Linked DNA regions of Pelodiscus sinensis. The protein of the gene in region 1 interacts with the protein of each later gene in a biochemical or structural test. Links are inferred from orthologs where the notes say so. Each region holds a gene or a part of one and is shown in the gene's direction. Other genes may lie near its edges.

Region 1 (15,277 bases):
ACCTGATACTGAAAGGTGCTGCACATCCAGAGCTGTCACTGTAAGGTCATGCCCCAAAATACTGACGTTTACCAGTAAAAGGAAAGATGATGTTCCATCCCACCTTTCCTCCTACCCCACCATGCTCACAGGCCTTGTCAATAAAACATTTCTTACAATTGCTAACCCCAGTTCCACTCTTCAGAGTTAGCCACGTTGGGGCACTAATGTAGACTAAATGCTGGTTAGCACCACCATTTTTAGCATTATGACCCTGATTCCCAGTTACTCCATTCCCACACCCGGCATAGGAAGGGGGTGGCCAAAGCTGGGTGATCTTTGTCACCTGTATGCGCCCCATAATCTGAGGCTGTTTGGAGGTTGCCACAGACCTGAGTGTCAGTTAAAGCAACCTCAGAACTGCTCTAACTTACCCTTTGCTTCCCATGGCTTCTGTGGGTTCTGGGAAACAAACAGCTGTAGCATTGTGTACTGGGGTACATCCTTTGGCCCACTCTCAGCTTCCCACTCCAGGGCCCCAACATCAGGGGCTGGGAGCACAGCCTGTATCATCCTAGTTCTATGCTGGCCAGGAGGCCCTTTATGCAGAGATATCCTTGAGGTGTTGTTTCTACTACCTAAAAGGCCCCTTTATGCTGCCAGATCATGGTAAAGGTGCCTTAGTGTAATGCCAGACCGGCCTCTGTGCCATCTAACCCTGCTCAGAGGAGGTCTGGTTAAAACACCGGCAGCAGCCAACGACATATCTACAACAAGATGCTCTACCACCAGTGGAAGCTGAACTGTGGTTAGCAACAGTAGACAAGGCTTGAGGTCTACTGGGCCTCAGAGTTATTGAAACATTTCCTAGCTCCACAATCTTAATGAACCCAAAGTGGCTGGCTGTTCTCCGGATTTGCTAAGGGACCGCTTCAGATTGCAAACCTCGTCCAATGAGTGAGTGATCCTCTCACCCCAAACAAAACCGAGAAATGTTGTTGGGTGGATCACAGAAATGACTATCAGTGCACGTCCATAGATACAGAATGCATTACAGAATTTTTCAGAAACAAGGTGTTTTAACACCATAGGGCAAATAAATAAGAAAAATTGTCCACTAAGGGACTGTTAACAAATACTTACTCCCAAATCATTTCTTATATATCTACTTGTAATTTGAAATTGGTAATTTGAACTACCTGTAGATCATATCTGTACCTATACATATATAGGGATTTCTTATGGCATTGACTGTTTCATTGTGTAAAAATCCTTTCTGTTTAATTATTCTGTATTGTAATACTGCATTTATATCCACACAAGAGAGATAGGGGGGATTGCTTTCACATATGCAACACAAAGTTAATCTGTAAGTAATGGTGATTGCAATCAAAACGTTGTCTCGGTCTTATAGGAGTTTTATCTATTTATACAAATGTTTTATGTAAGTGCCTACCACTTCGGCAAGTAGGCACTAATTGCAAAAGTTACATGATGCTTTTAGTCTACAAAAGTGCTTAGAGTTTCCTGTGCAAATGCTTAAAAGAGCCAGGTCTAGGTTTGGGGGAGTTTTTAGAGATGGAGTCATGCCAAAAATCTCAACTGTAAACCTCAAACCTGGGAAGGAGTTCAGACTGAGATTCACACTAAAATGAGTTAGCCCAAACCTCAGCTCTGAATGGCACTCCCCACTACCACTTAGAACATGGGGAGATTTTAAATCCCAATCAAGAGTCAGATCTGAGCTCTGTATCTTCTTGAGCTCATCTCTAATTATTTTTAGCTGGAGTAGTGCAGTCTGTTTAATATGATTCCCTTTCTCCTTTACATACACACATGCACAGAGTTAAACGATGGACATATGGAAGACTTAAGAACTGGAGGAGGCTGTAGCTTCCAGAAATACAAGAACTGGACACATTCCAGCATTATTTCCCAGAAGGGAGGTGATCGAGAGATAGAGGAGAGGGAGAAGGAAACATGAAAGGAAACAGAAAAGGAATGCTGGATGCATACACATTTAAGTGAAAGTCAGGGGCTTGATGTGGATAAAGATAACTCCCAGCCTGAGGTCACAATCAAGCCAGATAACATGGTTACAGTGCAAGTACCCCCAGCACTGTTAAAATGTGGTTCAGTCTTTTAGCATAACTGAAGCCTACATCTATTAACTGTGTGAAAGCCCCAGACCTGTCCAAGACTCTAGCATAGTCAGTCTGGGGACATTGTTAAAAGGATATTTAGGTGCAAAATAGAGACTGACCCAGGTATCAACTATGTCAGGGGACAGCTATATTATAAGTGGGTCCCTAGAATGGTTATTATTGTGCAATACTATATTATGTAAACAGCTAGGATTGCCAGATGGTTTCAACAAAAATACCGACCACATTTGACATTACATCACAATCTACATTACATCTTATTTAAAAAATACCGGACATTTATATTTTCTCAATTTGTTTCCCGAACAGAAAGCTCAAATACTGGACTGTCCGGTTCAAAACCGGACACCTGTCAACCCTATAAACAGCTCATTACTATGATGGGCTGGGCAGAGCATGGGAGATAACTTTTGCCAAACCAATTAATTTAATCTTTTCAATGTAGTGTTCACTAGGTATATGCCCTACCACTATCATCATATCCCCCATCTCCTTGGTTACATCCCTGGGAATGCTTGAGAAACCCTAAGGATTCCCACCAATTTCCCCCATCCCCTTTGACCATGCCTTGGGGCATATATTGAGAAGCTACCCTTAGTAGGCCCACACAGCTGGGGAAACCTGAGAGCTCATTCATGCTATTTGGCAAAACAAAAAGCATGATGCATCTCCCATTCTGATCTGGTGCGGAATGTGCTGGTTCAGCCATCCCCAGACAGCTCAGAAAGCATCTGAACAGTCATCCTGGATCTCCTTCCCAGCAGAGCAGAGCAACTCCTGCTACTTGAATGTCACTTCACTGTCACTCCTGCCAGCACTTCAATTTACTTATGTAGGATGACAGGCCTATCTTCTGACTACTGAAGGAACAACTTGTGCCCTTTGTCACTAACGTCAGAGAAAGGATAGGACTGGACATTCACATCTAAGTGTGAATTATGTCAGCTGTTTGAAGACCACCTCATTTAAAGCATCAGGAATTTGTGTACACCTGCAAGGGGATAGCTGCAGCAAAACCAAAGATGGATGTAATCTAGTAGCATTTGCAAAACTTGATCCCTTCTGACGCAGAATAGGGACACTGTGCGACACTAAAGTGAGGCCTTTATTTTGCAGACCTCAGAGAGAGGTTGTGATTGTGATGAAGACAAAGCTGCTTTCTCTTTTGATGGCTGGTTCTTCTTTTGTAGGTGCATTTTTCAGCAAAACCCTTGTAATTAGAGCGGATTGAAAAACTGCCAAAAAATCTGGCCAATATTTAAAAGAAAAAGTTTCCTCTTGCCTTTAAAACTTTGTCAACACTTTGACTAGCTCTGTATTTGGTCAAAAAAGCGGGGGGAGGGGGGGGGGCAGGAAATAATGAAAATTTTATCACTAACTTTTTCAACAAAATTTTGAATTTCAAAAAAATTTCAACATGCTCTCCTGGTACTTGATCCTTTGTAGTGCAAAGTCACTTTGTAGTGCAAAGCCTTTGCCAAAATCTATATAAAACATCCAATAGGTCAGGTGAAACATAAACACCCTAATATCAAAATAGAGGAAGATGACAAGCAGGAAAGTGACAGATTAATTATGAGTCATTGTAATCAATATGTAATAAATACTGTCACTGGGGCTATGTCTATACTACACTGATGTATCGGAAAAAGGTATGCAAATTGTGTACCCTGCAATTAGCGTACCTTTTTCCGATAGTTTTTTTCAGAAGAGGCTTTTCCAAAATTTGTCCCGTCTACACTTGGCCAAATTTTGGGAAAGCCTCCTCTCTCGGAAGAGCCCTTCTTTCTCATGGGAGGAAGACAGGGCTTCCGAAAGAGCACATCTGCTCTTCCGCAAAAAAAAGCAGAAGAGCAGACATGTTCCCTGGACATGGTGGAGTTTTTCTGGGATACCTCTGGTATCCTGGAAAACCCCCGTAATGTAGACATAGCCTGGTAGTCTATGGCCAACAGTACAAGGGCACTGTTGCCCAAAATCATTGATGTTGAAAAGCAAGCAAAGTTTGTTCATGATCCTTCAAAGCATTCAAAAGTCACAAGTTCTTTTTGATTTCTTCTTGGTAATATAGCACTCTTCTGTCAGTTTTCCCAGAACAATCTGCAATCCAACTGGCAAAGCATCCAGGATTTCAGTCCAGTTCTCATACAGTTCTTCTTCCTTATCACTGCGGCTATAACCCACTTCTGGGAAGATGTGAGGCTAGAACCTCAGCTGGTGTAAGTCAAAGTAGTTCTATTGAATTCAATAGAGCTATGCTGAGCTGTGAGTGTCAGGCCTATGGCCCTTAACAAAATGTTCACATTACATACTTATATTTGCAGATAAAGCTGTTCCTGTAGGCTTGTTTTTGGGATGCTGATAATGAGAGCTGGTTGAGAAAAAGGAAATAATATCCAGCAAACATTTGGACCAATTTATTCTATACTGCTCAAAAACTTTTAAAGTAATAACCATAAAAAGGTAAACATCTATTTCAGATTCTCCAGCAGCATTTAAGTACATTCCCTATAGGTTTCTTGCCTTTTCCCAAACTCACTACCAAGATTAGGAGACAGGGTTGTATGTAAGATAAAAATCTTTATAAACAATTGTTTATATCGCATATAAATCTCTTGGAGGTCAGATCTCTTTTTCTGTGTGTCAGTTTTTCTATTATTCCATCTTGTTCTCTGTCCATCTGGAGTTTGTTTCTATTATCTTGGCCCTGAGCACACTTGTAGGTGAAACATTGTTTAATAGTTACAGAATGGGACTGGGAATCAGGAAATATGGGTCAATCCTCAACTATGCTATGACTCCCGTGACCTTGATCAACTCACTTCATTCGTCTATATCTGAATTTCCTACTTATCAGTGCCTTAATTCCCCCATCTCTAAGTTGGTAATATTGATAACCATACCAGAGGGCTACTGGGACATATGTAAACCTCAACAGTTGAAATCTTTAGATGAAAAGTGATGTAGAAATGCCAAGTGTTAGTATAATGCCCATTATCTACACACAAGGCTGTTAAACCTTGAGAATATCGCTACTTTCAATAAGCAACATCCCACATAAATATGTGCATCAATATAGAGCATATATAGCTAAGTTTGTACATATGGCTTGAAGGAAGAGATAGAGATTAGCTATGGTGATTATACCAGAAGTGCTGTATGCTTTTAGCATTCATGCACACTAAGCATCATAGCCCAAGAATTAACAAGAGCATCACAGTCCCCACAAAGCATCTGTCATGGATTCATTGCCCCATGAGAACCATGCTAGCTCTTCGGTATACCTGATTTGTCAGTGTCTCGTACTTGCCTTTTCATTTCAGATGGTAGAAACAGAGAAGGGAGAGAAAACCCATTTTCATGCCAGTCATGGACCCCCACTTGGCACTGGGATTCCTAACAGAAATACAAATGCAACACCCTAGGGATTCCTAACAGAAATGCAAATGAGTGAGGATTTGTAGAATGCAGAGACCAGAGCCTAAGGCATAAGATATGTCGCTCTGTTGTGCCTCAGTTTTCTCATCTGTAGAATGGGGATAATAATACTTTCCTTCCTCACAGTGGACTTAATTCACAAATGCTGTCTGGGGAAGCCTAAAATAGAAAGTACCATATAAACGCCACACATTATAGTAACTATTATTATTACAAATCTGAGACTTGCATTGTGCTACAATGCTACTTATGATGCCTTTCAGAGGGACAATGATGAAAGCACAGTGTCACAGCAGGGGTGCTGGAACAATTTGTGTTATGGGGGGCAAGGGAGGTGCTGAGAGCCACTGACCAAACTGTAAACTCTGTATGTGATGGAAACCACTCAAGCCGAAGTGTGTGGCAACACGGTGGGCCGACAGCCTCACTGGGACCCTGAGCAAAAGGGGGGCCCAGCTCCACACTCCTGGAAGGGGCGTTGTCTCAGGTGGAATGGATGGAGCTAAGGCAGCCAGCCCTCATGCCACCCGGACTGCAGTGCATGCCCCCACACAGCCCAGCCCAGCCATCAAAGCCACCTGGAATGTGCCATGCAGTGCTCCAGCGATGATTTAAAAGTCCCAGGCCTCCAGATGCTGCCACTGCAGCACTAGCAATATCTGGGAGCTCTGGGTCCTTTTAAATTGCTGAGCCCCAGGGCAATTACCCTCTTCTCCCCTCCCTCCCCCGCCTGTGGGCCTGAGCAGCACCTCTGTTTCAGCACCCTGGTGTCGGGGTCTTTGTTATAGCCTTCCAGAGACATTTTCCCTCTCACAGAAATAGCTCCATGGAAATGGTTCCCTCTTCATAAGCTACATCATCCCTTACATTTCAACAAGCAGAAAGGGCCCAAATTAAGCCAACCAAGTCTCCGAAACACAGAATATCCCCAACCTCTGCCAAAGCTCCTCTGCAGATGAGCTGCAGGGACTGGTCTTCACAGATTGGGAGGAAGGTGGCCATTGCATATTTTCCCCACCAAAAGCCTTGAGAGGAAATACCTCTCTAGGAAATACCTCTGCCCACCAATCCGCACTACCTTCCATGGCTGGCTGCTGCAGGCACTCTGGAGGGTTGAAGGCTTTGCTGTGAATAGACATGTGCCCTGAAAGCAGGAGTACAGGATAACCCAGGCCTCTTCAGGGCATGAAAGATCTTCTGGGCTTGGGTCTGACCCACACAGTTGTTCTTGTGTCAGCATAATCCATTCCCCCTCACCCCTTCAGAGAGTGCAAGTCAGAGGAACTTCTGCTGTATGAAACTCAGGCCAAAACTTTCAGACAAAGCTACCTAGGAAAATTAGTCTCTGAAATTCATTGTTAGACACCAAAATAAGGTACCTCATTTTCACATGCACTGTCCAAATCCCCAGCAACTCTCCCTTATTTCATTATTTATGAATGCTCAGCACCTCTGAAATCAGGCCTCTGATTTAGGAACATAAATCTGCACTTAGAGCCTAAATGAGCACCCAAGTTTGATTTAAAAAATCCCCTCCCTCCAATCTCCTTCTCTTGAATGGATTTTTTCCTGTGCAGTGGACATCATGCCCCTTGTTTGTTGTAGGGTTGGTCACTAGAGAGCTGGCCTGCTGGCATTATTTAAAATAATAAATCGCACCAAAGGATTTCCTGGAGAGGGGAGGGAGCTAAAAGCCATATAAAGAATTACCTGGTCCTTGCAAATAAACTCTTGCCAGAAAGGTAGGTTATATTTTGACTGATGCAATCTCCACTATCCCTTTCCGTCTGGAAATTCCTGGGGGAGACACTGACTCCGTAGATCTGTTATTTTCCACTTTATTAAAAGTTCAGGAAGATTGGATAATAAATAGATTCTATAAATATTCATGAGACGTGATGTCACGGGGAGGTGTGGGGGTGCAGAGCAGCTCTGTGACTGCCTGGCAGCGCCATTTCCTGGAGAAAGAGGAGGAAGAACAGGAGTAAGAAGAGCCGAAGGAATTAGCGGCAGCAGCAGCGGGTGCCCAGAGCCGAGGCAGCCGCGGCTGCAGGGGCTCCATGCAGCCCGAGGCCAGCAGAGGGAGACCGCTCTGCCTCGCATTCCCTCTCGTGCTCAGTGACTCGCTCTGGGCAGAGAGAGGCTGAGCGATCGGGATTTGAGGGGCTTCCTGAAACTTCCCCTACACACTCCTCCACGGGCTGGCGAGGGCTCGCTCCCGCGGCGCCAGCCTAGTGCAGCGGAGAGCGAAGTTTGCACTGCAGCTTCCCCTCAGAGCGTCCTGGGAAAGGGCTTCGCTTTGGGGGTCCCCCCCCTTCCCCCTCCTGTGGGAGCACGAAGCAGCCGGCGGCGTGGAGCCGGGCGGGAGGATGCTGACGATGAAGATGCGGGAGCGATGGAGATGAAGCAGAGCATGGGGATCCCGGGGCTCCTGGTGCTGGGACTATGGGCTCTGGCACTCCGGGATACCGCTGCTGAAGCAGGTAAGGCTGCCCGGGCGGGCTCGCTGCAGGGGCATAGGCGAGAGAATTGCCGGGCGGGCCCTGCAAGGGGCTGATCTTCCGAGGGGTAACGCGAAAACGTTTGGCCCAGGGGGTCTCGGCGGCTTTGCTGCTGCCGCCGCCTTGTTTTGGAGCCTGACGCCCAGCACTCAGCCCTCGTCCTCCAGTTTCATGCTGGAGCGGAGCGCTGGGGCCGCCCCTCCCCAAGGTGTGTAAAGCTCCCGCTGGCCCTGCACTAACTCCACTTCCTGCGTCCGGACGGCGCGCAGGGGTGGGGGGCTCCCTTGCTAGACCCGGACGCAGCGCTTCATGCAGCGCTTCTAGCCGGCAGCCTGTTGGATCCGCGCTCGCTTCTTTATCGGCTGGTGGGACAAGTCAGCCGCCTCCTGGCGAACGCCACGTTCTTCCCCGGGAGGAGAGGGAGGTGACTGGTAGCTTTCTGGAGGGCTGTGGGTCTAGGGATAGGAGTTACTCTTAGTGCTGCTGCATTGAATTGTCTTCAGCAAACTAATCACACCAGTCCCCTGGCTTCGTTTTGTTTTGTTCCCAGTTGTCCCTAAGCAGGTCTTGACTTTGAGGAACTTGGTGGCTATTTTCAACGGCACGGAGGGTTTTGTGCATTTTTTTGTGTGCCTATGCCTTCTCCAAATGGGATAGATATGTGCTCTCTGCACCCTATGATTGGTCACCCAGCTGGCATGGCAATGTTTCTGCCCCCTGATGGGATGACTTAGACTTAAATGAGTGCCTACAGTGAAGATCCTCAATCCATATGTCAGCACCTAAATAAATGGCCTAGTTTTCAAAAGTGGTGACAAATAGACCATTTATGGATCAGGCCATCTGTGCTTCAAATGTGGGTGGAGTAGCCAAAAATAGGCACCTACATTTGAAAATATTGGCCTCAGTTTTTTATCTCCCAAACACAATTTCCTTTGCAGTGGCCATTGACTTCATTGGGACCTGCTGATCACTCTTTTGAAATTCAGGTTGCTTATTTATGTGCCTGTATTTGAGGAGGGTGTAAGCATGCCTAATCTTAACCTCTTGAGATCCTGTCCGGCCATACATTTCTATGGATTTATCAGCCTAATTTGAGGCATCCAGATTCGAATATCTTGTCCATTAGCCTAAAAAATATACAGACGTCCCCTTTCTGTTTGTGAATTATCCATCAATGATTGACTGTGTGTGACTAATAAGAAGAGCTTTCCAAAATGGTGAGAGCACTTCTCACGCAAATGCTCGGAGGAAATACTGATTCAATACTTATAATTTATGAACCTTATGCTTGCTGCGAATTATTCTCTTGAATAAGACCTGGATGGTTGCGAATAAATAGAGTCCTGAATACCAGTTAAGTGAATCAGTGGGACTGTTTGCACAGTGTTGTTCCTGTATTTGCAGAGCTCAAGTTGCTATATAGGGAGGCCAGGTGATAATCCATTCCTACATGGCTTTTATTTATTTTCCTTCCAGCCTACATTTTCCTAGTTTCAGCTACAAGTAGACATACAAGGACTTGATTTTATAGCCTAATCCTTCCACATACACGTTTCCCATTGACTTAGCTAGGAATGTAGGCCTCAATCCTACGTTTAGATCCACATGGGTGGAGCACTGTTGGTTTTAAGGGTTTGCCTTGTAGATTTTGATTGCTAGATTGGGGCCCTCACGTATCAAAGGAATGGAAGGTCTCTGCCTTAGGTAAAAGTCTGCAGCTATCTGTTTCTCCTGCCATTCCAAAAACAACTTCAAAAAACTTCTGTCTTTAGTAATCAAAAGGTACTACAGAGTTGTTATAGTAAAATACACTCTGCATGGAGAGAGATAACCGGAGCACTCATTTGTTGTCTGTTCTGTCTGAGAGCAGTATGAAGCTAATATGATTTCATTTCCTAATCAGTTATGAATCTTCTACAGTTGTCACATTGTGGGGGGAAAAAGTTAGTTTTTTTTATTTCCTGCACTAGTTAAAATGTTCTGATATAAAAATGGAGAGTAGGAGGAGGAATAATGAGAAATAAATATTAATCTTAACCTCTCAAGTGCACAAAAAATCTATAGCTGATTCTTCACAGCCAACTTGTATGCATCATTCCCTTCTCTTCAGAAAAAGGTGCTGCAGCTAAACTGCATCTTATGTGTATCTGTTAAAAAATGTGTATCTGTTAAAAACTCCAAGGTTATTATTTTCCCTTTCCTTTCAGTTAAGATCTATTCATTGATTACACAGAAGTGCTGTAGAAAATAGTCAAATAGAGTATACATTAGCACTGTATTTTAATTTCTAGCATAATAAGGTTGGGTGGGAAATGAAACCTGTAAAGGCTTTCCAGATATCATATTGTGTACATTGTAATTAAACCTTTCGGCAAAGCAGATTGGAATAAGTTAAGTAATTTGCTGTTTGCTAAGGCACCTATTATGAAAGAGTATCTGCCAATTTGTGTGTGCATTTGGATACCTGGCTACATTGGGTTTATATAAAACAGATGGCTTTGTATTGTGAAATTTTAATGCTCTGTTTCAGTATTCTGCGTGGTGAGAGGGAGGATGCTTTCTGGGACGCACTGGGATGTGTAATTTATGCCACTTTCAAGTTAAGTAATCTGAGGTTAGATCGTCCTCACTCAGGTGATTAATTCCTTTGCCCAACCAAAGCATTGTTGCATCTAAAGTTAAATGAGTTTCGGTGCTATTAGTACATTTGCTAAATGAACAGCTCCTCACCCTTCTTTACAGTTGCTAAAACACAGCTGAAAATACACACAATATTTTTCTGAGAGCACTGTGATTTTGCTATTGTTACCGAGGGATGCAGTGTAAGAGCAAAGGGAAGTAGGGCAGGCAGCAGGCCATTTCTGTATTCAAATACACTTCATGCTATGAAAAAAGTTTGAGAATAGTGTGGCTGCATGCTTAATTAAGGGCAATCTTGGCTTCTACAGGCTAGTGTTTTTCTATCATAGTGCTGTGGGCTGGAATGTCATCTGATGATAGATCTAGCTGCATATGAGCAGAGCTAGTATCTTAATTCTGCACAGCGGATCTAGGGCAATAGAGTGGTGGACAGGTTAACCTTTCTCTGAAGGATCCAATATAGTCCACTGCTAGAGGCAGGATACTGGGCTAACCTGAACCATTGTTCTGTTCTAGTTTGCCAGTCCCTGTACTAATGGACACGTATCCAGTAGGACTGGATACTTTACCTTTGTCGTCCATCTTTCTGCTTTATCAAGGTCTTCCCTCATTCTCCATATAACTGCCCATCTTTCAAAAATTTACTTACCCAGTTGCTTTCTGTGTTTTTTGCAAGGTGACACATTCCACACATTCATTTCTCATTGAGGGGAGTGCTTCCCGCCCACACACAACTGCGCTTTCAGCCAAATGCTGATCACTTTTACACCAGTGTCAGTCACAGTAATTCCACTGATTTCAGATGAGTTATTCCAAATTTATACTGATGTAACAGATCCAGATTAGGCCCTTTGTCTCTGTTCTGGAAATACGCAATGGCTGGCTGAAGAAAAATGGAAACGTGTTCTGGAAACCGTTCCTTCCCCTCCCCAATAGGAATGCTTTAGAGTAAGTTTTATTTTCACTTGGTTTATAAATTGCATTGGAGCTTTTGTAATGCAATAGAACAGTTTACACTGAGCGACCTGCTGTGATTGAGTCTAAAATCCCAGTTCTTTACAAATGCGTACACAGTGGAACAGAAGTGAGGCCTTATTTGTAGTATAGGAACATAGCATAACCCCTGAAAAGTGAAAAACCGTTTGGGGGGGCAGCATGATATCATTCTGAGGGAACACACACATCAACACTGCCAGAGCACTGCTGTGAAGAAGCTCATGTTTTTCGTATCTAGCTGTGCCTGGGCACTGCTGTGTGGAAGCTCATCCTGCTGCTATCCAAACTGGCACTGGTTTTGAAGAAGCCCTGGATAGATTAAGCCTCCACCATTTTCAAGTAATCAGAATGCCAGTATTCTCATTTTATAATCATGACACAAACATAATAAGGCTCTGGTGAGGCAGTTAGAAAACTGTGCAGTGTGTTCTTGTACATTATGTCCTTTCAGACCCCCAACCTAGATAAACTTGCTCCATACCAACCCCCACTTCTTTTGGGGCTGTGGAGGAGGAGTATTTTTTTATTTTTATTTATTTTATTTTTTTTAGGTATGAAATTGACAGGATCGCCAATCAAATTAAAGGTGTCTCAGGGTCAGCCGGTAAAATTAAATTGCAGCCTCGAGGGAGTAGAAGAACCAGAGATGTTGTGGATCAAGGATGGAGCGGTGGTGCAGAGTGTAGACCAGGTGTACATTCCACTAGATGAAGAACACTGGATCGGTTTCCTCAGGTACAACAGCTGTGGAGGAGATAGACCATCATGGAAGCTGTCACCTACGTCAGTGGAATCCCACTGACCACCATGTGATTGTACCTTTCTAGCTTGCCTGGGCATAACTGAGAATGGAATTTATTCCAAGGGTTGGATTGTATCTGGTAGAATCTGAAAAGGCTCCTAGACACTGTGATGCTTTGGAAATGCTAGATAGGCCAGTGGTCAAGAGGTGGAAGGTGTTGCTTATCCTATCAGAAGTTCTTTAAGCCATCCAGTCCTGCAGAATCTGTGAAATTATAGAGAGATAGTTAGCTGTATTTTTTTCCTCTCCCTTTAAAAAAAAAAAAGTAAAACTTTTCCTTGCATTCTGTGTAGAGATGTAAATTCCTGTTTAATTGGTTAACCGGTTAAATGTGATGTTAACCAGTTTAACTGACTAAAAGAGAGGTGAGTGAACTGGAGTGTCCCCCAGGCCACAGGCAGGGGCTGTTCCAGCCTGGCCTTGTCGGCAGCAGGCTTGGGCATGTTGCAGGCAGGGGTTGCTCCAGTGGTCCAGAGTAGCCTGTGTGGTGCACCTGCGCACATTATGAACAGCGACTGCTCCAGATGACTGGAGCAACCCATATCTATGGCAGGCCCGGCAGGCGGGAAGCTGTTCCAGCCCCCACCAGATAACGGGTGATGCTTACTTGTTCACTGGTTACCCTTTCACATCCCTAATTCTGTGTTGTATGCACTCCTGAGCAATATTGTGGATATAGGATGGTTTAAAGGATTATTAAAAGGCAGCAGGGTCTCTCACTTTAAATCCCCAGTTGAAGTCCAACCTCAGTCAGCTGTGTCTGAAAGTCCTTGCCATCTGAAGTCTCTTCAGTGGTCACAAAGATGGGTTAGTAGTCTCAGCCCAGTTGCCAGTAAATAGTTCTTCATCACCACAGTTGGTAGTATTGCTGCTAGTTCAGCAGAGGACTGAATGGACCTGGAGGCTGAATTACCTCCTCAAAGTCTTGGGGATTGCAGTAGACCAGAGCTAAAGATCAGTGCCGGGAGAAGCTTTTGCCAGTTGTATTCATGCCATATCTGGATAATCAATAGGGGGCTCTCTGTCCAGCTCCCTTACGAGCACTAGAAAATGAATAAAAACAAAAAGCAGTATGGTAGGATGCTTTCATCTTGTTTGTTCTAATAAATTCTGCAGCGCAGCTGGAAGCTTAAATTCTGACCTGGATAAATAAATTTTCTCTCTTCCTCTCCCTCTCTCTGACTAAAAGGTTTAGGTGTCCTAATTAAAATTAGACTCCTGGGACCAGATTTCAATCCTGTTTGGAGAGGAGACTTTGTCATGCACACCATCCCTTAGTCATAGCACATTTATTCCAGCATTTATATCAGGCCTGCTCTTGTTGGAGGCCTCAAAAGCTGCCTGCAGAGCCAGCCTTTTCTTCTTTATACTTTTTCTTCAGCAGTAGGTGGCCTGTTGTGTATCCCAGGAGTAGTACTGGGTTACACAAGGGCCCATGCTCCATATCGGATTTCTCCATGCATAAGGGAGTTTAGTGCAAAACAGCATGGTCTGAGAGGGAGTGTACTTGGAGCTGCCAGGAGCAGTCTAGGATCATCCATTCGCAAGCACAGGCTTCCTCCCCTCCTTTGGATTAGCATATTTTGGAGTTTAATTCCTATCACTAAGGCTATGTTTACACCACAACGCTGTTTTGGGATACCAAAGGTATCCCAAAATAGCTATTCCGCGCTTTTTTAAAGTGTGCCTGTTGTTTCAAAACATATTGGTTCACTATTCCGACATTCCTGTAAACCTCATTCCACGAGGACTAAGGGACATTTTGGAATAGCAATTTATTTTGAAAGAAGTGCTGTGTAGACAGCGCCAAATTTCAAAATAAGCTATTTCACAATTGACTTGAAATAAGCTACACAATTTGCATAGCTCAAATTGCATTGCTTATTTCAAGCTCTGGGTGCAGTTTAAATGCACCCTAAGAGTCATTGGAATTGCATAGATTCAAACGATAGGGACCAGTAGATCATCTAGTCTGACGTGTATAACATAGGCCATTGCTTTTCACACAGTTGTCCCAATGGTGCGTGAGACCAGTAGGCTAAAGCATTTCAGCTCTGAGGAGACTAAGCTGCTGTGTCCCACAGGAAGAGAACAGGAGAGACCAAGGTGCCACCAATGCCCTTGCAATGGCGGGGAAGTGATAAAGAGAGATATGTCCAGATAATCCCAGCAAGTGAACCATGCATCATGTAGCAGAGGAAAGCAAAACAAAAAACCCAGAGTCCCTGTTTATCTGATTCAGGGGAAATTTCCTTCCCAACCCCAAACCTGGCAGTCAGTATGACCCTGAGCAAGTCCTACCAGCCAGATCTCTAGACATAGGATTCTTTGCACCACTTTACAGCAGTCAACTAGCCTGTCCAGTGGCCCATCTCCAGCTATGTCCAATCTCTGATGCTATCCCTCCAAAACGGACTAGATCTAGCCAGTTGGGGGTGGGAGGAGGCAGAACTCCTTTCTGACCCTTGCAGTGGACTGTCTGAAACCTTGAAGCATGAGACTTGATTATAGATGAACTTGGACTGCAATAAACTTTCCTCTGATAGGAAAAATCTGGGTGCAGTAATCCACCCTGCAATACTGTATCATATAGTCACCCTGCAATACTGCATTATATACCATCTTCATCATATATTCCCTCCCTGCACCCAGATTAAGGTCTTTTTTGTGTCTCCCCACTTTCTCGTTCTCCTGGTTCTGATTTCTATAGCCCTTTCTCACCCTTCACATTCCTCCACTGATAATAGCTCCAT
Region 2 (15,627 bases), on another chromosome or scaffold:
CTCCCACTTTTTCCTCCCCACACTCCCCACACCCAGAGGGATGCTGAGGCCCCCGCACCCACGGTGCTGGGAGACAGTTGGGCCGGCAAGACCCCCAACCCTGAGCACTGAGCTTCTCCTCCCCCTCCCTGCTCCCTCCTCCCAGGTTTCTCCCTCCCCGCTCTCACACTCCCTCCTCTCCTCTCCCACCTTCTTTCCCCAGTCTTACCTCAGTTTCATTCCCCCTCCACCTCAGTTTTGTTCAATAAAGAGGCCTTGTTGTAATGAACACGTGTCTTTTATTGCACAGCAGAAAGGGGGGGTTGGGAGGGGTAAGTGGAAGGACGTGAGGGAGGAATGAGGCACAAGTCCCCAGTGGGGCACGCCAGGGAGACTGTTACTTCCTGCAGAATGTGCTGCCAGGCTCACAGCAACACGTCCAGGAGAAGCACCAGAGGGCCCACGGGCGGCTCCGGCTCCATGCTGCAGAGTGCTGTGGTGTCTTGAGCGAGAGCAACCAGAGCACGTAGAGAAAAAAATGCTTTGCTGTCCCACAGCGAGATAGGCAAGAAAGCAGGGAAACCTTAGAACCGGCTGTCGGGGGGGAGGTCCCTTTAAGCACAGGTCTCAGATAGCCTCAGGCAGCAGCCACACAAGGTAACTCCTTACCTAATGCCTTGCCAGAACCGGTTCTGGCCAGCCTTAAATGTGATTCAGCATCCTATCAGTGTGGACGCGCTATTTCGAAATAGCAAAACTCTATTTCAAATTGCATTTTGTGTCTAGATGTGTTATTTCAAAATAACTATTTTGAAATAAGCTATTCTGAAATAATACTATAGTGTAGACACCACCCTTACTGAATTCCAGTTCATTGGGTAATGAAATTCCTTTGTAGAAGAATGGCTACTTTTAAATCCATGATTAAGTGCCCAGCCACGTTAAAATGTTCCCCTACAGGTTTATGTGTGTTAACATTCCTGATATCTGAGGAGAACTCAGTTACATGAGAGATGAGCTAAGGAAGTGCCTGGTGAAAAGGACTTGCAGAGAGGAAGTTAACCTCGCCTGTGTAGGATGTAGGGAGGTTCCTGGGAAAGCTGCTGGAGGTTTTATAGAAGTAACCCAGTGAGGAAACCTGCTGCAAAGAGGGGCCTGGTGCAGAGAAAAAGCCCTGGGAGGCTTGAAAACCCTGGAAGGACCCTGCAGGATTTGGGATTAAGGATGAAGAGCAGGGAATCTCAGTGTAGGGGCAGAGGATTATTTGTTTAGATGTTTCTTTGGCTTTTTATTTGGACTCCTAAGCCTGGAAGGGGACTACATTTAAAAGTAGACCTTGATGAAGTGCTGGACCATGCAAGTTGTTGACAGAGAAAGCCACTGCAGAGCCACAGGACTGATCAGCAGTGTGCTAGAAATGATGAGAACCTCTGCAAATCCTTGTTCTCATGGCAAGGCTGCTAGGGTGGTGAAGGGAACCTTTACAGGCCTCTTGCTTGGTTTAGGTCATAGAATTCCTCAAGCTCTAGGCCTACAGACATCCAGTCTTTAAAATCAGATAGCGTAAAAGCCGCAACCACACTGTTATCATAGGTGTACTCTATTTCTAAGTACAGGCAAATACTGATGTTTCAGATGCAACTGTGTGATTAATGGTAGCAAAACCCTGACTGTTTAAAGGCAACTCCTGTATGAAAGCATAATGTTGACTAATGTCAATAACAAGAGCCTCCCAAACCATAAAAATAGAATCTGCCCCACTCATTGTGGTACTGTATCCTCAGAAAGCTGTTGGCTAAGTAGCTAAGCTTTGCCACATATGGACTCTAGGGGCATTTGAATTCTAAACAGACAATGTCTAAATATCTTGAACTCTTGACTTATTAATTACCTCACGTTTGTATTAGTAATCATCTGGGCAGAGGGCTTTACTGAGGCTCTTCAGCAAGAGTTTTATTTCCCACTAACTGCAGAAAGGTATATAAAACAATGATTAGGGCATGGTTACAGGCAGTGTTCAACAATGCTTTCACTTACTCTTATGTTTGACAGAGGAAATTAGTTATAACAAAAATATAGCTCCATGCTAGTGAAATCAGATAAACAAAACTGGACAAAAATGTTTATTTAGCCAACATTCCACTGTCTTTAATTTGGCCAGCACATCAACCTTATTTTTGAAAGGCTAAAGGCCTTCTTTGCATTTTGATTGTTGTTTAACAATTTCACAATCATTCTTGTAAAAGTCCTTTTTAAACCATGATGGAAATCATGTGGGTTTTTTTACTTTAATTCTGTGGTGCCTGGCAAAAATACCGTTTTGCTGATAAGCAGCATACGGCATATCTCAGAAAACCACCATGCTGGACAACATGGAAAATGAAAGCATGTATGACCTTCAGTATTTTCTGCCTTTTCAGGGTTTTTTTTTATTTGGAAATTGCTCATCTGCACATTGGAAGCGACATGCTGTTATATCTTAAGCATGTATCTTTGAAATGGAAGAATAATATTGGGGAGAAAAAAACCTAACATTAAGGCAAATATGGTGGACACACACACCTGCCTTTAGATTAAGATTTTATTCGTGTTCCCATCATGTGCTCTGGGTTCAGTCAAAGTAGATCATCTTGAACTTGACAGGCTTGGAGAACACTGTACAATTATTATCATTTTGGTAAGATGTCAACAGTTAGTATCCTAGCTATACATTACGAACAAACTTTATTAGTGAATTATTAAATTAATAGTTTTAATGCATAAGAAGTCACAAAACTCAAGTTAGGCAACATTACCTAAGGCATGATGCACAGCTGTATGTTTATCGTGCAATTGAAGCCAAATCTGGATCCCGTCAAAATAATTTCAAAGTAATGGGCAGCTTATTTTGGTTTTTGTAAACCTCATTCCATGAGGAATAACACCGCTTTCAAAATAGCTATTTTGGAATAACAATAGTGTGGATGTTCCACTGCTGCTATTTCAAAATAGCTTTTCCCCGAGGTCATTCAGAGTAATTACTCCTCAGTGCCTTTTGGGGCTCTAAATCAAGATAGTGCATCCACATTAGGGGAGCCTGCCTCATACTAATTTCCAGGCTTCCCTGTAGTATAGACACACTATTTCAAAGTAAGCTATTTCAGAGTATTTCTTCCAGAATAGCTTATTCCAAAATAATTAGGTAGTGTAGACATAACCTTGGAGACTACCTTCTTCCTAGTTTTACTGAGGCATAAAAAAAGCAAAAATCTTACAACCTGTTATTGCAATGTACTTTTAGGGATTCAAATATCAATAGCTTCCATTTTCTCCCTTCCGTGTAATAACTGATTCCAGGAGTTGTTTGTACCAGTAGCTATCTGATGCTGAGATAGTGGATCACTTTGTTAAAAACCTGTATGCTCCCTCATCACAGAGTCCAGTGAATGCTACCTATTGTTTCAAGGGCTAGCATGCTAGTTCTGTTTCTCACAGTTTCTTTTTTTCTAGGCATTTCCCCTTACATCTGGCTTTTGTGAGACTTGAAAAACTTAATGGCAGTCAATAACAAGGTTCAATCTGATCAGCAGCATTACATCTGGACACTAATTCTTCAACAGATACAGGCTTGTAGGAATTTGTCTTCAAGGAAAAACATGTCATTGTGCAGAGTTGCTGATCACAGTAGATATTAAAGATGTTGCTTACTAAGTAAGATATCAAGCTATTGCCAGATATGTTGTTTTAGAAAACTATTTAGAATTAGGATGCCATTAAATTATTCCTATATAATTACGAATAATGGTGTTTAAACTGGCAAATAAACTACAGGCCACATTCTCAATATGTTCATATCTTTTCCTTACTTTCCCTTTTCCTTTCTCTGTGGATGCCATTATGAGAACCGTCCCCTAATTCTTTCATAGCATGACGCACATCTCAACAGAAAGTTCACCATGAGAACCATGTCTCCTTTCTTTTATGATTGCACAGGCTACCTCCATTCCCACAGGCTACTCTTTCTTTCTGGAGACTAAAGCAATAGTTTACACAGGGGAAAGTATTATGAGAAAGACATCTAATGTATTTTACCTCCTTTTAGTGCAGTTTAGCAACTGAAAACAAGGGGAGTGACAGCTCCATGTGACCAGACAGCTCTGAGAATCACGAGAAAGTGCTCCATGGACCAGTGTTTGAGAATTATCATGTTATGACAACTATTTGTTTCGCACCAAAGCCAGTGAAAGGCAAGATGGCACCTATCTCAAATGTATATATTTTAAGATATCTTTAGAAAAATCAAAAGTTTGTGAATCTGAGGGAGAAGGAGAGAAATGGGGTCTCATCTGCACCAAAGGATTTAAATTGTCCAAAATGCTATGGGAGAAATTCTGGCACCATTGAAGTCAATGGGAGTTTTGCTATAGGGATCAGTGGAACCAGAATATCATTCCTCATAATCAATTTCTTGTTTGATTATTAAAGTTAATGAGAACTATAAGCTAACTATATGGGACACATTTCAGAGAATGGTGTATGTGCCAATATGCTTATGTTCTCATGTATCCCAAACAATTCAGCTACTCTGGACAAATCTGCCCACCACTTTGGGGCAAATATGTTACACACACTTTTATCTGGAATTGACACACTACAGGAGTTTATATTAATCATTATATTTTAGCCATTTTTTCCTAATTTTAAAATTTCCCTTGACAGGGAATCTTGAACTTATACATAACCCTTAACACTCAGTAGTAATGTATGCAGAAGTGAAGTTAGCATTTAGAGGGATGTATGATCTACACATTGTTTTTGATCAAGAAATAAATTATGCATTTTCTTGTGAAATACTATAAATGGATTTTGTTTAGGGCTGGATAATTTTATGACCCATATTTGTTATAATAAAACTTTGTCTTATATGACATTGATGATGCTCAGCTTTATAGTACCTGATCCAGTCCAATTAGTTGGTTGCCCAGCCTAGTGTTTGGATCACAGTTGCCCAGGAATTCTTGTTTTCCCAAGAATCAAGGTAGGGAGGAAGCAGGCTAGGCTGCTACATTTTTCATGAGAGAGAAAGGAAAAAAAGGGAACAGAACCTTCCAGTTTGTGAGGAGCCAAGCTGATCCATCCTGTTTCATTTCCTTTCCCACCTCTCCACCATTCTCTGCTATGAAAAAGTGGCAGTTCACTCTGCTTTCTTTCTCTTAATTGCTCACTGGTATGGTCATATCATTGAAACCTGCATAATGTAGATCCACTGGACCAAAATACTGGCTTGAGTGCTGGGCCCCATTCACTAACTACTTCCTAGAACCATAGTACTGTAGTAATAAATCACGTGTCTGAATGCTTGGACTAAGGATTCTGTACTTCAGTCTTATGCCTTTTGGCTTCAATAATCAGTCCATGGGCTGATCCCTTTGCACTGTGCACTTTACCTCAGGATTTGACCTTAATAGTTGGAGTGACCGTGCCAAGAGAGAAAATATATCCCTGAATTAACATCCCATTTTGTTTATGCCTGAAGCCACTTTTGAATTTCAATTACAATTCTGACCTCTAATTAAAGGAAATCACACTGAGCTGAATTCAAGACAGCCACGATGGGGACAACTTTACAGTTTCCTGTCCTTGAAAAATATGATTTATTTCTTGGCATCACACTGAGAACTGCAGTTCCAACAGTAAGCAGCAAATTCCAGATCTTAATGTGCTAAGCATATTTTGGCGCATTCCTAGCTGGTAGTGTTCGGGTGTTCGGGGTTAACAATCCTGAATTTTACCTTCTTTGTTATAAGGATTTTCACATTTAAGCATGCTATTTTCCACCACCTTTAAATTTCAAAAATATTCTAATGTAATTTTACATTTTTTGCTATAGAATGTAGAAAATTTTACAGCTATAACTTACAGAATTTTGATGGAGACAAAGGCTGAGGAAAAAAGGAGACTGAACATTTATCATTAAACTTGAAGGGATGAAGCTTTCATTGGTGTAAATGTTGATTTCATCATGCATAAACCAACAAATATTTCCATTGCTACAGTAATAGAAATTTATAAATAAGCAAAATGAGAAAAATACTGCTTGAGATCTTATTAGCATTTCATATAAAAATATTTACTTTATGTATTTATCACATGTAGTATTGCTAATTTGTGAGTTTTTTAATGATTACAAAGCTTTATACTTTTTGAATCTCAGCATCTACTGCCATTAAATAATTATTATTTGATCTCCTCCAATAGTGTCTCACAATAGTGAACATTTAAATGAATATTGAAAAGCTTTAAAATTACCACCAGTGTGGTCAAAATTATAAAAGAATAAAAATCTAAAGGTTCGTCTAGATTGCATTGCTCTTTCAGGATACCGGAAGTAACCTGAAATAGCAATGCCACGTCTTTAAAAGTGCCTGATATTTCCCAAAATAGTGGGTGTGCTATTCCAGCATCCTAGTAACCCTCATTTCATGAAGATTAAGGGATTTGTCAGAACAGTGCCTTATTTTGAAATCTGGCACAGTTCAGACAGCGCCAAATTTCAAAATAAGCTCTTTCGATTTAGACTCAGAATAAGCTATGCAAAATGCGTAGTGCAAATTGTGTAGCTAACTCCGACAGAAGGGTGTTGTCTAGATGCACCCTAAATCTTCCAAGTCTACCCATCATTTCTAATGATGGTGCTACAGCTCAGGTTTGAGGCATTTTAGTCATGTGGGAAAACTGTGTAACTCAAAAGATAAAGGCCTTCATTCTCCACTGAGGTCAGACTAGCATTTTTCTTTAACAATAAAGTACTTTGTAGGATGGTAAAGAGTCCCTGTCATTCACCTAGCTGAGGGAGGGCTGTACAAGGGGAACAATTCCTTCCTGACCTCCACAGTTGACCATCTTTTATCCTGAAGCATGATTTCTGATCACCTTATCACTCTTATCAGTATCTTATCTCCCACTTTACAGCTACATTGTGCAACTACAAATTGTATCACAAAGTTAACCACTTTTTAGAATTTACAGTTACAGGATTTGGCTGAATTAATTCTGTAGCAGTGATTTTTCACAGACCAAGAATACATGGCATAAGGAATAAACTTAAAAAACAACAAATAGTCTTGCAGCCCCTTAGAAACTAACAAAAAATGTAGATGGTATCATGAGCTTTTGTGGGCACAACCCACTTTAGAAGAAGTGGGTTGTGCCCACAAAAGCTCAAGATACCGTCTACATTTTTTGTTATTCTCTAAGGGGCTGCAAGACTGAGGTTTTTTAAGTTAGGGTATGCCTACACAGCACACTTATTTCGAAATAAGCTATTTTGGATTTTTTCCCCCAAATAGCTTTATTTTGAAATAGCACATCTACACTACAGGGGAACCTCAAAATTAGTCCTAGGCAGGCTTCCCTGATGTGGATGTGCTACATCGATTTAGAGCACCAGGAGGCACTGGGGAGTAATTACTTTAAATGGCCCTGGGGAGGAGCTATTTTGAAATAGCAGCACTACTGCTATTCTGAAATAGCTATTTCAGAATAAGTGTTAGTCCTTGTGGAATGAGGTTTACAGATTTCAAAATAAGGTGTCCATTATTTTGAAATTATTTCAAAATAACAAAATTGCTTTGTAGATGCTCACATTGTTATTTCAAAATAACTGTGCTGTGTAGATGCACCCTCACAGACTAATAGTGCTTCCCCTCTGAAACTTTTGAACATGCATGGCACAAAGAAATATCTATAACTTGTTCAAACTATTAATATTCCTTTATTTTTAAAGGGGCCAGATGAAGAAGAGCGACGGACAAATACTTTTCAGCACTGTGGATACCTTAATCAAATACTGTTTAAGTTTTTTCCTTACCAGTTCAAATTAAAAAAATGTATAGTCTCTTATCAAGGCCAACCATTTTTATATTCTCAGACATTTGTGGTGACCCTTGTCATCTCTTCTATATATTTCTTAATGTGCAGTGACCTGTACGCTCACACTTGCAACTAAAGATTTCTGTGCCCATACAGTACTTCTTTAAAGTCATTCAGGGTTAAAACTGGACACACAGGCTGAATATAATTATTTAATGTAGTGTTGTTTTAATGTTGTATGCATTGTTTTCAGCTAATGGCCTCCAAGGGGAAAACATGCCCTTAGAACTAATTTCATGTTTTAACTGCTACTGTGTTCTGAGCAGAAGCATTTATGCATATTAAAATCTCGTATTATATTTTAAAAATATTCAAACATCATTCATTGATCAATCAGTTTGGGGCTTTCCCCCACATATTTACATAAGCCTGAATATTGCAGATATTTGAAGGATTTACAGCCTCTCTGTGCTACCCATCAGTGTAATGCTGAGGAGTCATAGGTAACTGACAGATATGGGAATACATCATCTTGGTTAAACCAACATCTACCAAACTAGCTCTAAGTTTTCCCCTGAAAACATTAAACTGAAAAGTGGAAGGTTTATTGTGAAGAAAAATATATAGAGGGAAATAATCTATTTTAACTAGAAGTGGGTTTGGTTTGACTCCTCCAGCTTTATTCCCACTAATAGTTGTAATCAATTTCAGTACTTAAATGCCATCTGATTTCAGAGAGAAACTTCCCCCTCCAAACTTTTGGGTAAAATATCCCTTTAGGTATTAATGCCACGGCTGTGCTGCTCATTTAGCTCTCCCAAATCAACTACATCTCAACCGGTGTTTAAGAGATGCACAGCAACTAGCCGCCCCACCACCAAGTAAAATCCTTAATGCTGAGTCTGAAACCTGCCACCCAGTTGCCTCACGTTCAGGGATTCCTGACATGTAGACAGCTGAGCAGACGCCCAAGCACTTGCAGACTGGGATGTGGCTCTCCAGGGCTCAGGTACTATGGTGACGAAGGCCAAACAAGGCAGCGAGGGCAGGGGATTGGATTGGGAGGCTGATTACCCCTTGGCCCCACGTGTGAATGCCCTATGAGGATGGACTGGGGGGGGGGCAGCCCTATGAGGATGGACTGGGGGGGGGCAGGACCGGCCTACAACATTTTGGCACCTGACACTGGAGCTCAAATGACGCCCCCTCGCTGCACTAGCAACAGACACAATTTTCTTCACCCTGGGTCCTAGTGACGCCCCCCCCCCCCCCCCCCCCCAGTCTGGCACCTGAGGCGGCTGCCTCAGTTCGCCACATGGTAAGGCCAGCCCTGGGGGGGAACCAGCTGCATTTGTCCCCTGAGGGCACAGGTCGGTCGGTTCCCGCTGCACCCTGGCCCCCCGCCAGCCCTGCACCCCCGCGGCGCTGCACCGAGCCCGGAGTGATTGGGTGAGAGGCGCGAGCGACTCCCCGGCCGGGCTCTCGCAGCCGCCTGGCGCGCGCGCTGCTCGCCCTCCCCCCCCGCAGTAGCCGCGCTCCCTGCGCTCGCGCCGGACCGCCCCGCTCCTCCTGCTGCCGCCGCCGGTCCCAGCAGGGCACAGCCCAGCCGCAGCATGCCGCAGCCAGCGGCTCCCGCGGCCGCCCTCCTGCTGCTCCTGCTGGCTACGGACTCCGCGGCGAGTGAGTGCCTCGGGGGCCTCGCCTCCAGCCCGCTCGGGGGGGAGGCGAACGTCCCTTGCCCCTTGAGGAGCCCCATCTTCCCCCCTCCCCAGCCGCGGCAATGCACCAGTCTCTGCGCCTGTGTGCAGTAAGGCAGGAGCTTCCTCCCCTTGCTCCCAAGGGCGCCCAGAGAGCGTGCGGAGGGGGATGGCTGGGGCGTTTGCTAGGGACGCGGTCTGGCATTGTGTGGGCGACAGGGTAGTGGGGGGCAGGCTGGGGAATCCCCCTGGCTGAGGGGGGTCTGGGGGAGCAGTAGCTTGGTGACTGCCCCAGGGGGAGTGCATGAGTGTAGCGGCGCAAGGTGCAAGCGGGGCGTTGCATGGCTGGGGGCTGCACGGGGCAGTGCCTTGTCTGCCCAGTGTTGGGGGGGGGGGGTGCATGACTGTGTCTCGTGCGGCACGGGGGACAGTACGGCCGGGGCAGTGCTTTGGGAGTCGGCCCGCGCCATCGGTGTCTAGAGCGGGCCAGGCTGCTGTGCACGGGCTGGGCTCGGTGAGGGGGGCACGCCCGTGCCATTGTTCCGTGAAGTTCCCAGCGGGCGGGTCCCATGAGCTGACTCCTGTATTTACCGCTGCTTCTCCTTCCCCGCTGTCCCTGTGCGTGGCTGCGGCCGCAGCCGTGTTGCTGCGAGCCACCGAGGCTGCCCAGTTCTTGCGGCAGAGACAGCGCCGAGCCTTCCAGGTCTTCGAGGAGACCAAGCAAGGCCATCTGGAGCGGGAGTGCGTAGAGGAGCTGTGCAACAAGGAAGAAGCCAGGGAAGTATTTGAAAACGATCCTGAGACGGTAAGAGTTGGGGGTGATAAGCGGCGCCTCCGGTACATTGAGGGTTTTACTGTCAATCTCTCGCGCTCTGGCCACAACTGGAATGAGGGCGCCAGCTGTCAGCACAGCTGGAGAAGTTGTTTGGGGGAGGAGGGGAGCCATTAGATAAATAAGTGAAATCACAACACTTCCCTTAACTGCGGTTTGTTAGGATTGTCAGACCACGCAAATATAGCATATAAAAGGAAAAGGGAAAGTCCGGTTAAATTTGCTGGGCTGACATAATTTATATGCCATTGCTATTTAAAATGTCCATATTCTCCATTCAGACTTAAAGGGCCAAATTCACTCTGGTATAACTTCAGCACCTCCAGGGAGTTACGCCAAGGTGACATAGTGTTTCAGTATTTCTGTCTGAACATCTGTGTCTTCCCCTCTTCTCCCATCCCTTGAATCCTTTTAGCTCTGCCCCAAAACAACATCAGAAAAGAAATTTCTGGGAAGAAATACGTCATAAACAAACTGTAAGACTTTCAATCCATTTTTAGTGGGTACAGTAGTTTGAGTTTTTGCTTTAGGATTGGGAATGCTCTAAATGAGAAGACGGGAGGACGGAAATAGTGACTTTTATAGCATTTTTTATAAAGTGGCTGTTCTGTAAATCTGAATGGCATTTATCTTCAAATTCAGTTACATCCTACAAAAACAAGGTACAAGTTCTCCTGAGTTTTTTTTTATCTTAAGTATTCTTCTTTTGTGGCACTTTCGTTATAGTAGTCTTGTTTGGCTGACCTTTATTTTCTTTTCCAATTAGCGTGCATCTTCTGGATGTCCTGTTTTGAATAAACTGTTTCCTTTTGTGGATTATCAGGGATTAGTTTAGTGGTAGGGAGTGAAATTCTTGGAGATCATATTGGGGCTTAAAATTGCACAGTGAGTTCTTGTTAATGGCTTGATGCTTTTTGAGTGGAAGGAGTTACATGGTTCAGGTGTGGTGGTATGGGGAGTGAAGGCCGGACTTGACCTTTCATTTTGAGTCAATGTCTCATATTTAAGTGAAAACATGTCTAGACATGTATACCTTAATAGGCTAACAGTGCATTGGCTGCATTACATCACAGTGCAATGGATAGTTACAAAACAGAAGTAAAAAGGAAGAAATTTGCAAACTGATTCTAGTGCTGATTTTACTTCTGTCTGTTCAAGAGTTTAAGATCAAACTCCTGTTTATTTAGGCCTACTAAGACTGCCTGCGTGCATACTCTGGCACCCAGATACAACAGTGTTTGGTGCTCTGTAAAAAAACATAGATTGAACACAATATAAACAGTTGTAATGGCGTGTCAGACTGGATGACACAATTATTTTCCATACTCCTATTAAACTAAAACCTTTTAGTAGAGTCTTGCACACATTTCATGAAGGTGCGCAGAGAAAATAAAAAATCCAGAATGTGAACTTTGACCATTCATAAAGTTAATCTGCGGTCATCAGTTGTATTTATTGGATTTTCGCCAAGAAAATCGGCAAGGGTGAGCAAGTGCATATGAGATTTGTTCAGTGGAAGGGTAGACGGCTATAAACATAAGTAACAATTATGAATAATAATACTTGGCACTTATTTCACACTTAGGAAAATGTTAAAGCTTTGTTCCTGTTTTGAAGACAGTGAAGTAATTTGGGTTTTACATCTTACCTGTAGCTGTAAATGAATTCCCTGAGACATAACCATATTACTTAAACACCTTTGAGTAATAAATATTTAGCAGTTAATGGTTTGCTTTATATTCAGGCCTGGCCCTAGGACAAGGTGAGCAAAGCAAATGCCTTGGGCCCTGCACTTCCGGGGCCCGTGCTGCTGAGTATTCACCATCCACCAGCCAAGCCTGGGGCCCCGCTCCCAGCATCCTGCCTTAGGCCCGCAAATCCTTTGGCCAGGCCTGTTTATATCTGTGGTTTTATTGTATTGTATTGTAGCTGGTGGGTCTCTTTCTAATTCTAAAATAAAACACCTTTAAGGGAATATTGTTAAGGCTGACAGGCCTGCATATTTGTGTCCACTTGCATATTCTCAATGCACCCAAAATGTTATGTTTTTAAAATGCTCCATGCTCTGCCGGTCTTCTTCTGAGACAGCCACCAGCCCCTTTCCCTCCCCACACCCAACATGCTGAATTTGTTAGCAATTTGCACTTGCTGGTTTTTGCCTCAAGACAGATTTTATGCCCATTCCAATCTAGTTGCAGATCAGTATGTGGCATAAAGATGACACTAGTTATGCTGTTTGACAATCAACTAACAATTATGGACAGAGGTAAAATATCTATGTTATTATTACTGCATCAATTGGGAGGCTTCAGTGCTATTAATCATAAGTAATTACAGTAGGTAGCAGGGATTGATGAAGCCCCATTAAGATAATACTGCTTCTCCTTTGACAGAGCCTAGAAGAGTATGATGTACAGTTGTTTTTCATCTTTTAGTGCTCTCAGCTGAAGAACTTCGCACGACTTAATCTTGTCATCTCTCTTTCTTTTCATTTATATGAGGCAACTGGGAGAGGGGTTGCTAGATGCTATGATCTGTGATGCTATCAATGCACAGATGACAGTCTTATTCTGTTGACAGAGAGAATCAGAGATCTCTGTCTCTGAGAAACAGCTGTCTCAGACTCAATTCAGGAAAGATGGAAATGAAGTTAGATAGCAGTGCATTGCAGGTTGAGGAGCTATCAGTAGCTGTGACTTCACTTCTCGTCAGAAGATCTCTGTCCTTAAGTTGTTAAAGATGGCTGGAGATTGCATCTGTGAGTTTTGGGTGTGGGCCTACCCACAGTGATCTTGGCTTTGGCCATGTCAAGAGACAACTATAGTGCCTTTATTGGCTGGTCTTGAAGGCTAACCAGAAAGGTAACTGATTCAACAGACCCAATTACAGAGTGTCAGGAATACATAATTCCAACACTCTGGTTTATGGGTGGGGTTTATCCAGTCCCAGGTCTGTTCCAAGCTCCTGATCCTTACTTTTAAAGCTCTAGATGATCATGGGCATAGTCACATGAATGACTGCTTCACACTACAGTTTACACATGACAGCTGTGCTTTCTAAGGAGTCCCAAGGTCTAGTCTACACTCCTGAGTTCTGTCGACTTAATTATGAAAGTATCTATGCTTAAATTTCGCTTCTGCCTCCATAAGCACCTTGCTATACCAACATAACTCCACTTTCAGGAGCTGTCTCACAGTGCCCTATATTGGCAGTACAATCAATACATTGCTGGTGAGGACACAGACTGCTGACACGAGCAAAATGCAGACACGCACAAGCAATGTAATTATTGCAATGGCTGTATGCCAGTATAAATTAGGTTGTCTTAATTTTGTATAGTAAATGTAACCTAAGGTTTAGTCTAAACCCATTGCATCCAACCAATTTTCAAGCAGTAGCCACTATAGTATAGTGTAGGAGTGTTAGCGAGTAGTCAACTGGAGTGTTAACTACTTCCTTCCCCGCCCTTTTCTGCCTCTATGAGAGGCAGCGAGGTGCAGGGGGAGGGAACAGGAACCGGTGTTGAGGGGAGCTGGCTTAAAAGCCAGTTCCCCCTAGCACCAGCTCCTCGGTGCTGCCTGCCCCAGTGTGGAGGATAGAGAAGGCTGCAGCAAAGCAGCCTCTGCCTGTGATTGGCTGAAACTCGCCGTGGGCAGAGGCTGCTCCTGCAGCAGCTCCTGTTCACGACCAGCCCTGGTTGCTGTATACAGGGGTGTAGGACTCAGTGCGAGCTGGGACTGAGCAGTCCCGGCTCGCGCTGGTCTGGGATGCTGCGCCTATGCATTTAAATATAGTAAAAGTCCAGCAGCTCTTACTGCTTTTAAAATGCAGAGCCACAGCGCAGGTGGCTCCCAGAGTCAGAATGAGTCGGGCTGCTCAGTGCTGGCTTGAGCTGGCTCCTGGAGCTACACCCGCTGTGGCTCTGCATAGCGGTCCTTATCGACTCATTATGTAGTCAATACAAATTGTATCAATTACACAATTAGTCAGATAACCATAATGTAACGTCCCTGCTATAGTGGCTACTGCTATAGCAAGCTAGCCACACTCAACCAGCCAAATAGCCACATTGTTCAAGCCAACTAGCCACATTCAACTGGCCAAAAAGCCACATGTGACTAGCATGTTGGACACCATGGGTCTAAACTAAGGTCTTGTCCACATGAGGTAGCTAGAACATAGTAAACATGGGTGTGAATTTAGTACAGAGTTATTTTTATGCTTCAACTCTGCATGTCAACATTCTTACTGCATTCTAAACCTCTGGAAGTTTAGTTTACTTCATGTCCAAAGTGTATTAAGCTAGTTTGCAAAAAGGCACTCAGTAAGAGTCTGTGGGGGAGTTAGTACAGAATAGTTTACTATAAACATTTTTCTTATGTAGATAAACCCTTACATTTCATGATATGATATGAAATCATATTAGCTAGTTTAGTTTAACTAATATCTTCAAAAACTTTTAGTCATGACAAGTCAAGTTGTACTTTTGTGTGTGCTAAGGTGGTCAAATGTAAAGTGTAGATTTTCTCCTAATCCTAAAAAGTTTACGCCAAAACCAATTCTGGCATTTTTCTCATGGAATGATAGTTCTGTTGACCCAGTAAACATAAATTAAACATTTTGGCTTGCAACTACAATAAGTAGGATGACTACATGGTTGTTATTTTGATGTCTTGCATGCATTGTTTAGAAGCACACGTGCAAACAGATATTAGTAAAGATGTAAGCTCTCTTTAACTTGAATAATGGTGTTATCGCATTTGTGATTACTTGTAACAACTCTAGTTATATTATAGCAGGTAAGATTAAATAACCATTTATTTGCAAGTAAATACAGCTTTTTATTTTATATTAAGGAGACTATTGACTAGTCCTAGCCTGTGAGAGAGAAGATCATTTATTACATTTCTAGTCTGAAACTTTTTCCTATTTTTAAAAGAAAACAAGATTGTTCTATCTATATGACTATAAATGGCAAAAACAAATACACGCTACATTGACATAGTCTTGTAGATTATCTTTTAGATTAAGCTGAATGAAAAATATTTATGTATAGGCTGAAATGTTTTGGAAGCTAAAAGAAACGAGAAAAGTAATTAAAGAGAATTTCAACATAATATCAATGGAGAAAAATAAGAAAGGGAGCATGTTAATGGAGGAAGATTGCTTCCTAACACTACATTTTAAATAGATGAGCTAGGTGTGATAAATAAGGTTGCAGTTGCAAAACATCTTAGTTATAGAGATAAAAGACTGTTATCTTAGTTA

What was found.
Region 2: the proteins of TYRO3 (region 1) and GAS6 form a complex in vitro, tested with the Homo sapiens proteins (2 studies listed by BioGRID). The link is inferred for Pelodiscus sinensis from reciprocal best matches to the Homo sapiens genes TYRO3 and GAS6.

Annotation. Positions count from the first base shown.
Region 1 is NC_134714.1:65,020,480-65,035,756, forward strand, and holds the start of TYRO3 (tyrosine-protein kinase receptor TYRO3), read left to right. Parts: upstream 1-7,563; 5' UTR 7,564-7,977; coding exon 7,978-8,065; intron 8,066-8,323; exon of another isoform or gene 8,324-8,439; intron 8,440-12,273; coding exon 12,274-12,457; intron 12,458-15,277. UniProt on the Homo sapiens protein: Receptor tyrosine kinase that transduces signals from the extracellular matrix into the cytoplasm by binding to several ligands including TULP1 or GAS6. Regulates many physiological processes including cell survival, migration and differentiation.
Region 2 is NC_134711.1:236,673,754-236,689,380, forward strand, and holds the start of GAS6 (growth arrest-specific protein 6), read left to right. Parts: upstream 1-9,349; 5' UTR 9,350-9,443; coding exon 9,444-9,510; intron 9,511-10,165; coding exon 10,166-10,332; intron 10,333-15,627. UniProt on the Homo sapiens protein: Ligand for tyrosine-protein kinase receptors AXL, TYRO3 and MER whose signaling is implicated in cell growth and survival, cell adhesion and cell migration.